Linked DNA regions of Drosophila melanogaster. The gene in region 2 interacts genetically with the main gene of each other region. Each region holds a gene or a part of one and is shown on either strand. Other genes may lie near its edges.

Region 1 (3,756 bases), on a different chromosome or scaffold from region 2:
ACTTCGGCATCCTTGATGTTCATTCGAACCCCGGAGCTGCTGAAGGTCAGGTTCCGGCATTCGTTGCTTAGCTGCACGTTCACATCCCGCTCACCTAAGTACTTTCGCATAGTTTTGGGTAGGTTCTCCAGACCGCCTTTCAGCCCGTACATGGCCCACTTCTCCTTTACCGCCTGCGCATACAGCTTGGGCTGTCTTTCGGCAAATAGTCCATCCTTGGTGTCCTTGGTCTTGTTCTTCTCAAAGCGGGAAATGAGTGTGCCCTTGAGCACTCCTCCGTACTTCTGTTCCTTTTCAAAGAGCCCCTCCATCAGGAAGCGCACACTTATTTCTCGCGCGTCACCGGCGCAAATACCGCAGATCATGGGACTGATGGCGTAGTCGGCTATCTCCTTACCAAACCGCCGCTCAGCGAAACTGTAGATGCTCTCATCCTCCAGCTTCGCTTTCTTGCTTGCTGTGAACAGATCGCGAAGAACCGCTTTGTATAGCGGCTTCGTGAAGGGAGGCAGGACGCCGAAGAGACCCTTGGGACTGTTGGGCAGCATGCAGAGCTGTCCCTTGGCATACAGCATTCGGTTGCGTGCTGCGACATGACTGCGTCGAATGGGAGTCACCTCCAGCTTCAGATCCTCCACCAATTCTAGCGTATTGGCACCTGGCTCACCAACTGGGCGTATGGTTCGCGGTCCGCTCTCGAAGATGAAGTTGCGATCCTTGCGATTCTCCGACCGCACCCATCCGCCCACACGGGGCGAGGCCTCGTAGATGGTCAGCGGCTTCCCGAATCGCCGCAACAGGTAGTATCCGGCGGATAGTCCACTCAATCCGCCTCCCAGCACGGCCGTCGTCATGGTCCTTCTGCTGCTTCTCGTTGCTCCCGAATCCCTTAGAGGATTCAGACTAGTTCTGGTTTGCAGACGAAAAAATCTATGCCGGCTTCGATCGTTCAGACCAAAATAAACCCAGGTGACATAACTATCGTTGAAGCTATCGATAAGCTCAAATCCAAAATCGCTGAGCTTGCAATCGATGTTATATGCGATTGAAGAGTTTTGAATTGACAATTCTGCAGAAAATAAAATCAAATAAAGGAAGGGATAAATATTTTATAAAATAAATAGCATTTATTGTTATACTTATTTTGGTAACTACAGCTAACATAATATCTTATAATCGAAACAATGGTTTTAGAATATTTATTGTTAAATTATGTAAAGTTAAATAAAATATAGTGCAATTGATAATACTTAATTTAAGCATTGATACAAGAATACAAATGCATAGTACTTTTATTTGCCATTATTTTATCTCATTTAACATGCATTTGTGCACCCGTCCCAAAAGTATGCAATGAATTTCTTCCGACATTCCTCATACGCCACGTGTGCATCGTGCGGAAGTTCACTTGCACCTGCATCGGCACCATTACCATCATCATCACCATCACCGCGGCACTGGGTCATTCATAGTGAATGGGTTTTGGCGCCAGTTTTGATGAATCGAACGAAGCGTCCAGCCCGCACCAACCGCAGGACTCCGAAAAGCTCCCAAAGACGAGCTTGGGCCGTGCGGAAGTACATTGGGCCACCGATTTCCATGTCGTCGGAGTCGACATCGCGCAGAATTGTATACGCTGCTGACGAGAAAGGTTGGTCCTCGCGTTTGAGCGCGTCGCGTCTTTTATTCTGGGTGTGTGAGTGAGTGGACTGTGTGGAAAAGTGCCTATCGCGTATATGTATATTCACGGGACCCATACACACACACACAGCTGCAGCACTTGGAAATGTGAAAAATTTTCAAGCTGCGTTTGCCAATTACGGGGAAAATTGAGCAAAAAACGTCTTAAAATCCGGGCAATTATCGTGGCCATTTGCGGAACGGCAATTGTGCAAAATTCGGTATCCGTTGAAAACGGGCTCAGTGAACGTGAAAATGTGCCACACACACACTTACAACGCAGGAAATTCAATTAATTAGTGACCGAGTGTGTGTGTGTGTGTTCGCCCATAAAACGGCGATTGTGATTGCGAAAAAAGTGTTGCATACATAAAGGAGCTAAGAAGTGGACCAACGAGCAACACTAAAGGAAAACTCTTTAGAAATACAGTTTTTCGCTTTTTTTTTTGGCACTGCTGCAGGTTTTCATTTAAAAGATACATTTGTTGAAGTCAACACACACGGACACACACACATGCGCATACGGCACAGTTTTTCGTTCGTTTTTAAAACGAGCACACCACAAGTTCCCCAAAACGAAAGGACGAAGGGACCCGACCCGATGATAAAGTCGATGTTCCAGGCCGGAGATACACTTGTATCGTTCCCCTGCCTTTGCCGCTGCTGTCATCGTCAATGTTATTTTTGTTGCTTCCTACTCGTCGTCCTTCGTGTGTCGCAGGATACCTTGGTATATGTGTGTCAGTCAGTCACTGGCCGAGCGTGGGTGTGTGTGTGCGTGCGCCAGGATACGCAGATACCCAGATACCTACAAATGAAGCCACCAAATCCAGGCGAGTTCAATGCGCGGCCAGGACGAAGGACTAAGCTCTGTTTACATTGGCTCACGAATGCCCATTTTCCAAGCCCCCTGTATTTTCCGCCCGTTGGCGTGCCGTGGGAAATTGTGTCGCCTGCTTATTTATTATGAAAATGCAACTTTCATTTGACTCGGCATTTGTCCCGTTTCCATTGTTTGCAGGCACATTAGGCAGCTCGTTAAGCGCATGAAAGTGTGTGTCCTGCGGGTGTGCGAGTGTGTGTGTGTGACACGAAGGGGAACTAAAAACTAGGGCAGTGTGTTTCCGTTTCAACGACATGCCGCAGGCGAAAGAACGAGTCCGTCCGCAGGACAGCAAAGCCTCGCTAATCGGGCAGGAAATGAATAACTTAAAAAGTTACCAATGACAAGTTTGACATTAAATGTATCATATACAAATAACATGCAAACGAAAGTGATAATTGTAAAGCATGTTGTATATTGCCAAAAATTCTAGTTTTTGGTACCACATTGCGTATGCTTAACCAAAATGTGCGACTTTCGCAGGCAAGGAAAAAGCTTTCTGCCCGACAATTTTCGGATTCCCTGCATCGCGCAGCCGCCAATACGCCAGCAGCAATTGTGAGAAATTGAGAGAAATTCTCAGAGAATTCTCCGAGAACTGAGAATTTAAAAACGGCGAGAATAGTGCTGATTTTGCTTTCAAGTCTGCTTCGCATCTTTATTTATTTATTTACTTGACACGCTTGCTTTTCCGGCTACGGAAAATGGTGATACAATGTCTAAAATAATATTAATTTAATAGAATATATATACGAATACAAATATATACGTAATATCATTGACAAATGTCTGCGGTCGTAAAAAAATTAAAAACGCAAATAACGCTGACAGCCTAACTAAAAAATATAATTAATTACCGCGTTCGTCGCGCTGCCTTGGCAAATTAAAAAGTATTTAAATTATCGCTCAACTTAATAAATCTCTTGCAGCTTAACACACAAGGAAAAATTTCGTGGGCAAACAAAGCTAAATAAGTTGTGAAAGGAAACATGAGCAGTGTGACTAAGCGCAGTTTCTAATTTAACCAAATTCCAATTCAAATTCAAAAGAACGAACAACTATTGATCAAGACGGCAAAGAAAGAAGCAAACAAACCAAAACGCACAATGAAACTGATAAGCTTAACGCAGCTGATAACACAATGAAACTCATCCACGGATCCGAAATGCAATTATGAAATAATCAGCAAGCCG
Region 2 (3,756 bases):
CATTTCGAAGTCAACTGCTTTATAAGACCAACTTTTTTTTCCCGGTGTAATCAGGCTTTGCTTTTCTGAAATTTTCAGACATGCGTACTGCTTTCGGTTTTCAAAGATTCGAAACCACCGTGATTTTCGAACCATTGTTATTTTCCTTCTCGCATTCGGTCACACTATTTTCAAACGTAAACAATTGATTTTTCCTGCTAAACAAAAGTGGTTGAAAATGTCGGGAATCGCTGCCAAAAAGATTGCCGAAGCGGAGGACCTGGTGAAGCAGGCCGAGAAGAGGTATCCCCAACAAAAATATCCTTATAAAGGGGTTTCCAAATAACACCCATCTTTATTTGCAGCTTGAAGTTGTCCATGCTGAAATGGGTTCCTGATTACGATAGTGCTGCGGATGAGTATTCCAAAGCTGGTGAGTTTCACAAAGTAGGAGTGACTAATATCACCCAGAGTATCTATCTATAAAAACATTGTGACATCAATGAGATATGTAAATACTATGAATTACAGCTAACGATTATCCCAAAGTATCCATAACTTGCAAGATACACACATATTGGTGTACAATTATGTATCTTTCTTTTACATTTTTAATTGCAGCCACTGCATATCGAATAGCTAAAAGTTATGATAAGAGCAAGGAGTGTTTTCTGAAGGCAATCGACGCCTATAAAAACAACAAGTCTTGGTTCCATGCTGCAAAGGCATACGAACAGGTGAGCTTAAATTGAAGTTAATATAAGTGAAGTTAATAGGAAATTTAAACCCTCTAAATGTGCACATCTTCTAGATCATTTTGCTGTCAAAGGATGCCGATAAGCTACACGAAGTTGAGGAATACGCCAACAAATCGGCGAGTTTGTATCAACAGCACGGTTCCCCAGAGGCAGCCGCATCCGCCTTGGATAAAGCCGCCAAGTTAACTGAATCCAAGCATCCTGACATGGCTTTGCGCTTCTATCAGCATGCTCTAGAAGTCATAATGGTTCGTCCTATTTGACACTGCTCTAGTCAATTCCATTCTTAAACTATTAATTTTATACTTACCCGACAGATCGAGGATTCCGTCCGTCAAGCAGCCGAGTATGCATCAAAAGTTTCCAGGATACTGGTCAAACTAAGGAGGTATGTACCTATGATTGCAACGAATCACTTTGGGTATCCTTAGCTTATATCATCCAATCACTCCAGGTACGACGAAGCCACGAATGCGCTCAAAAAGGAGATCAGCTTGAATCAGCAAACGGAATCTTACGGACAAATTGGACGCCTAGTTGTGGCCTTGGTGATGGTCCAACTGGCTCGCGGGGATTCCGTGGAAGCCGAAAAGACCTTCAGGGAGTGGGGAAACTGCTGCGAGCCAGAGGAAGTGTCCACACTGCAGACCCTTCTGCAAGCCTTCGATGACGAGGATCCCGAGTTAGCTGCTAGGATGCTGGCATCCCCATTCATACGACATATGGATGTTGAGTACGCTATTCTATCTAAAAACATTCCACTACCTCAGGGTATACAGATGGAGAAGAAGGCTGGCGACACTGCTGCTGTGAGTATTTTTATTCTAAAAATGGAATTTGCAATTTTTGTTTTGTAAATTTGGCTCTTATTATGATGTTATCGATAGGCGATTGAATCTGCCTTTGTTGTCGATAGAAGACTTGGGACAGTGCGAAGCAGTAAACTAAATAGCTAACAAGAATTTCGTATTTTCTCTCTTTCTCTCTCGCAGGAAACCAACGACGCCGAGGACGAAGGTGGCTTGTGCTAAATTTCTTAATGTTCGGTCTGCTTGTTAGTCAAAATATATTTATCGTTAATAATATCGCTTTTAACATATTATATTAACTGTTAAATACAAATTTCATCGCAATCGTTGTACTAATTAATAAATACTAAGATCAATACTATACAACAAAGAATATCATTAGCTTTGGGATGAATTGATATTGAAGTAATAAATTGTAGCTATAAGTGTAAACTATGTATATATATTCTATGTTCCAAAACAGCGAATGTGTTAAGATTCAAATCTGTAAATCTTCAGCTTTATTACACGAAAGTATAGTGCAATTTGTTAATATAAATAAATAAATTAACTCAAACTATACTATGTATTTTAAAGCACCCTAAAATATTTGACATTTTGAAAGATCGAAAGTGTGCCATTTCACCGTTCCAAACGCTTCACAAACGTCGCGACGCGTCACGACGCATGTTGATACTTTGCCGGCGCCTGGCAACCCTAACCTGTGCGAAATAACCGACCAAATTGATTCGTCCGGTTGTTCGTGAAAGAAGGCGGAAGGTTAAACAGTATTTGTAAAATATATACTCGGCGAAGCAGCAATTTGAGAATTGTGAAAGCGAAAAACTACAGGAAAAATGGTACGTACACTTGGGACTCGCATTCAGACTCGGTGGTAAAAGCGGCCGGTCATTGTGCACTTTTGGAAGCGAGGTGGAGTGCAAATAATGTCTTCGATTCGATGAATCATATAAGCATCTCTCCTTTGAAATCTGTATATACATACATATTTAGATAAGTGTGTATATATCAATCATACATATATTTCCACTTTTTTTTGCCTATATGTTCGTTGGCCATATTCGGGCATATACATGGTCATGAATGTGTGCGTATACATATATACCAAATTAGTCATTGGTAGCAGCGGATATTACTCATTTATTGGAGTGTTTCATACTTCTCAGCCGCCACTCACACTCATAACTGGCAAATTCGCGAAAGGCAATCGCGAAAGAATGCTCCAAAGTGGCAGCTGGAAAAATGGAGCGATTAAAAATTGAAATGTTGGAAAGAGAAATGCACACACATTGGATTTTCATGTCTATACATATATATATTTTTACACACTTGAGCGTGTGTGGGTATACCGCTTTTTTTATATTTCGATGGCTATAAATATGTGCGTATGTATGTATCTGCGGGGCAATGCTTAATGCTTATTTTCTCGCAGACGCAAAATGTGTGTACATATGTACGTCCATATTACCATACAGAAATATGTATCAATATATATCCATATATGTATCTGCAGGCATACATATTTAAGGTGTGATCGTTTCCTTGCCGCCTTGCGGATGTTCATACATACATACACATGATGTTTAGCTGTGTGTGTGCAGCAGACGACTGTTTGCATGTGGGACGATTTTGATTTTCTCGACATTTTCCGAATATTATGGAAAATCGGGCATTTTCCACCGTTTTGTGAGCGCAACGAAATCGTGGGGAAACAGCCACCTCCCTTTTAGTTTTCTTTCTCCCTCTTGTCGGCTTGTTCTCACCCTTAAACTTGCCGGCACTTGTGAACTTACCCTTGAACTTTCCGAGCGCCGGGAAAAAAAGAAAGGAAAATCTAACTGTAAATGGTGCCACGCCCACCACTCCCAGATAAATCGGCGTGCCAAGTGTGCGCACGCCTTAACCGGTAAAAGTTCTGCGGTGGCAATGCAAATAAAGTAGCATAAATTATTTACCTTTATGTTTGTTATTGCCGGCAATCAAAGAAATAAAATTGCAAAGTCGAAAAGGGACGGATATACTGTCAGCTGAAGGTGGGCAGTTATGTCTGCCAGTCAGTTACATACGCACATATGTACATCAGTGAGGTACAGGGTGCCTCGTGTCTTATGTGGGCATAAAACATTGAACTTCACTTATTTTTTTTTACAATTCAACTACTTGGTACTTCATGAACATTTGTTTTAAGGGAATACTTGGGGAAACGCAAA
Region 3 (3,756 bases), on a different chromosome or scaffold from region 2:
CTCAGTTCTGTGTTTTTCGTTCAGTTTTAACTATGCAAAGCTATTACATACAAAACTAACTAACTTTGCAGATCTTCAGAGCCAAAAGAGTTACTGTCCGATGAGCAGGTTGAGAATTTACTATTAAATCACTTGGTGGATGAGAATGGTGCCATTATAGTGGAGGAACTCAAATCGCCAACAACAACCACAAGCATGTACCACACACACCAACATCAACAGCAACAGCAACAACAACAACAGAATCAGCAGCAGAAGCAACAACAAAAGCAACACCACCAGGCACTAAACGTGGTTGGAGCCTTGCTGTTTTGAGCCGACAGCGAAATACCCTACACTTAGAAAAAAAAATCAACACCAAAACCGCCTCACCATCACACACACACACACACACACACATGAATGCGGTGATGGGAAAAGTCACTTTTAAATGAATAATTGCAATATAGTTCATAGATAATGATCGAAAGTGCCACAAGAAGTATTTAAAGTTTCAAAACTATGCACTATTTTTGAGCATTTTTGTAACGGAATTTTCGAAAGTACCTTTCTTCAATTTAGAAAACTCTTGTTTGGCCGCTGACACAACTTCCCCCATCACTGCACGCATACAAATATGAAAATTATGGCAAAATTTTACTCTATGAGTATTAGGGCATACTTACGATCGATCCAAAAAATCCAATTAGTCAAAAGCGTAGCGTACATATCATTCAAATACAAAAAGACATCAATCCCAGGTGGATCGAAATGGATGCGAGATGATGGATGAGCCAGCAGGAATCTTTTTAAATCCACACCAACGCACTCAGGCACGTGTGGCAAACTATGTTCTAATCCTAAATAAATGATGTGCAATAATTTAGTTTATGTAGTGGCATATACATAATTAAGAAAGTTACATTTTATGCTGTTTACAAAAAGCAAATAACTAAATGCTAGTCAACAAAAACGAAATCAGTTTAATAGTTTTAGTGTGTACGAGCTAAATATTCGGCAAAATGATTTACAAGAAACCCACAAAAATACATAAGAGTGTACAAATAATGGTAAATGTGGTGTGCACTGAAAGAAAACGAGGAGTGCGTTGACAATTCGCACCAAAAGCCGAATCAGCAATATTACTTTATGGAGACATTTGAAATACAAGCGACTTGCAAATTGTCCGCGAATTCTTCGGTTTTCTTCTGTTTGCGCCACTGAGTGTTAAATAATTGCATATATAAATACCTGCATAAAATTATATGAAGTGTATTATACAAAACTGAATGTTTCATTTCGAAAACTGGGCAGTTAGTGAATAAAATGGGGCTGCCATTTTTAATTGGTAACTATAAAGCTTTAGTTTCATTCTTTGTTATAATACGTAAAAAATCAACTTTAAAATTGACTAGTTTGTGTTATGTTATTAAATAATATAGCATTGCCTTTTAACGGTTTTCTATTTTAGAAATTTCATTTGACCACCATTCTTCAGCCTTTTGGTATTTTCTAGTTTAGTATTTCCTACCAAATAAAAAACTTATTCTATGATTATGCCCATTAATTTTTACTCAAATCCCATTTAAAATTTTTGATTAATTGGTGTATATTTTAACTTAATATTAAAAACTATATTCAAAATCAATAAGTAATCTATAATAACACAGTACCTAGAAAACCAGCTGATTGCTGATAATATGTAAGACATGGCGATAGACTTTTGAAAGCTTTTGCATTTCAACTTTTATTCGCCATACAAGTTGCATATAAGTGAACATGTACGCATTAAGATCAGGAACTTTAAAAACCACAACGTTCGATCTCCATCTATCAATTTGAAATTGGTATATATTGTAAATAACGCTGATAATAGGATTTAAAATCACACCAGCTGATATACGATATATCGATTGGGCTATCGCAAGCAGTGGCGCCCCATCTCTACGATAGTGCTTTCGCTGCACGCCGACGAACGCTTCGTGCAACTTCGTGCAGCTTCGTGCCACTCGGTTCGCAGTGGTTCGCTACGAACCGCCGACGGACGCTTTAGTTTGGCTGCAACGCTTTGCTGAGAACAGACCAAATCCGAAGCGAGCGGAGCCGAAGAGAAACCGAACAAACCAAACAAACCAAGCCAAACAATCCGAAGAAATCGCGTCGTGAGTTGTGTGGAAGGAAAAGCGGTTAAATAACGCGGCGATCTTAACTGTTGTTCTTCTTTTTTTTTTTCGGTGCTGGTGTATTTGCACATTCTACTTTTTTTTTCGTTCTATAAAGTGCCACTTTGTGTGTCTCGCTGGTCGTTTGTTTTCTTTTTGTCGTGGGAAATGCGCGCGCGCATTTAAGAAGTGGCAGGAAAACTCCAAACGCAGCTGGTAAAGATTCAAGTTTTCCAAAAAAAAAAAAAAAATAATAATAAAAGAAAACCAACAAGAAAAACCGAAAACCCAAAAAACAACAAAAAACACGAATGCATTGCCAGCAGATGATAAAGAAGGAGAGCAAGAAGAAGAGCGCACCGCGACGCCTTCTGCTGTTGTGGTTGTTGTTGCCGTTCTTGGCCGTGTTTGTTGTTGTCGTTGTTGCCGCTTTTATCTGCATTGTCTTGCGTCTTAACTCGTTTCGCTTTGGCCTTTTCGGCTCTCCTCTCTCCCCGTTTTCCACACTCCCCCACTCTTCTCATCATGCCAATGCGTGTGTGTGTGTGTGTGTGTGTGTGTGCCGTCCATGGATGCGCTTTGCCACTGGCTTTTCCCTCTCTTCTCCACGTTCCTCTGTCTCTTTGCCACACACACGCCTTTTTTCGGCTTACGGCGGCGGCAGCAGCGGCAACAACAACAACAACAAGCTGCCGCAAAAAATCGATAACGGTATTGGCAGCGGCGGCAGCACAAGAAAACGGCAACAACTTCCGCTTCCCCAAAAGTTGCAAAATGTCACCTGCCCCAAGGATTAGATAATCAAAAAGGGCACGCGAAGAGAGAGAGCAAAGAAAAGCAATAACCAAGGGAGAGAGAGAGAGAGAGAGTGTGTGGGAGTGGGCTTAGGCTTGGGCTTGCCACGCCCCCCGCCTTAAAGCGTGGCTGTCACAATTCTTGTTTTAATTAAGAGCCAAACATTCAATTACAACTCGCTTGCTCTCTCACTCGCTCCCTATCGCTGTCTCATTCGCACCCTCTTACTCTCCGCTCAGCCATCTATGCATCTTGGACCTACAACAACAATAATAACAACAACAACAACAAGAGATACAGAACAAGGAGGCAAAAAAGTAACAGAAGAAGAAGAAGCAGCAGCAGTCAACTTGCAACACAATCGTTGTTGCTTTTTGGGTAAGTGTTTTCCTTTGACGAAATTCAGTTTGAGATACTAAGATACTTTTGCATCTCTGAAGTACATATATACGTAGTTATGGATAAGATACACATGAAATCGGGAGAAGGTTGAAACGTTTTTATTCATTTTAATATTTAATACAAATTAGAATATGAGTAAAGTAAATATTATATTTTCTCAATACATGTATATAAAATTTAATATTTTATTGAAAAGAAAGAAAGAAAGAAAGAAAGCAAAAATAGAATGAAAAATATAATCGAAAATCCTATTTAAATAACATGAATATTATTATATATGTAGAACTGAAATTTTATCCAAAAAAGGAAAATAAAATTAATATTAGTACTAACTACTTATAGCGTTTTTCATAAACAATTATTATCTTTAAATTGTTGTTTAACTAGATTCCAGTTGGATATAACACAAATCCGTCAA

The links.
Region 1: of sei (region 2) and slo, changing one suppresses a phenotype caused by changing the other (phenotypic suppression), as found in Drosophila melanogaster (one study listed by BioGRID).
Region 3: of sei (region 2) and rut, changing one suppresses a phenotype caused by changing the other (phenotypic suppression), as found in Drosophila melanogaster (one study listed by BioGRID).

The regions. Positions count from the first base shown.
Region 1 is NT_033777.3:24,660,872-24,664,627, forward strand, and holds the start of slo (slowpoke), read left to right. Parts: upstream 1-1,619; 5' UTR 1,620-1,692; intron 1,693-3,492; 5' UTR 3,493-3,756. Other genes in the region: Ppox (protoporphyrinogen oxidase), read right to left, coding at 1-854. UniProt on the Drosophila melanogaster protein: Potassium channel activated by both membrane depolarization or increase in cytosolic Ca(2+) that mediates export of K(+). Its activation dampens the excitatory events that elevate the cytosolic Ca(2+) concentration and/or depolarize the cell membrane.
Region 2 is NT_033778.4:24,045,295-24,049,050, reverse strand, and holds the start of sei (seizure), read right to left. Parts: upstream 1,641-3,756; 5' UTR 1,547-1,640; coding exon of another isoform or gene 1,192-1,546; 5' UTR 1,126-1,191; coding exon of another isoform or gene 1,055-1,125; 5' UTR 1,048-1,054; intron 986-1,047; coding exon of another isoform or gene 791-985; intron 717-790; coding exon of another isoform or gene 601-716; intron 413-600; coding exon of another isoform or gene 345-412; intron 283-344; coding exon of another isoform or gene 218-282; exon of another isoform or gene 148-217; intron 1-147. Other genes in the region: gammaSnap1 (gamma soluble NSF attachment protein 1), read left to right, coding at 218-282, 345-412, 601-716, 791-985, 1,055-1,125, 1,192-1,546, 1,730-1,768; tsr (twinstar), read left to right, coding at 2,383-2,385.
Region 3 is NC_004354.4:14,824,347-14,828,102, reverse strand, and holds the start of rut (rutabaga), read left to right. Parts: upstream 1-2,029; 5' UTR 2,030-2,141; intron 2,142-2,197; exon of another isoform or gene 2,198-2,357; intron 2,358-3,175; 5' UTR 3,176-3,314; intron 3,315-3,756. Other genes in the region: CG14408 (uncharacterized protein), read left to right, coding at 72-315. UniProt on the Drosophila melanogaster protein: This is a membrane-bound, calmodulin-sensitive adenylyl cyclase. Inactivation of this cyclase leads to a learning and memory defect.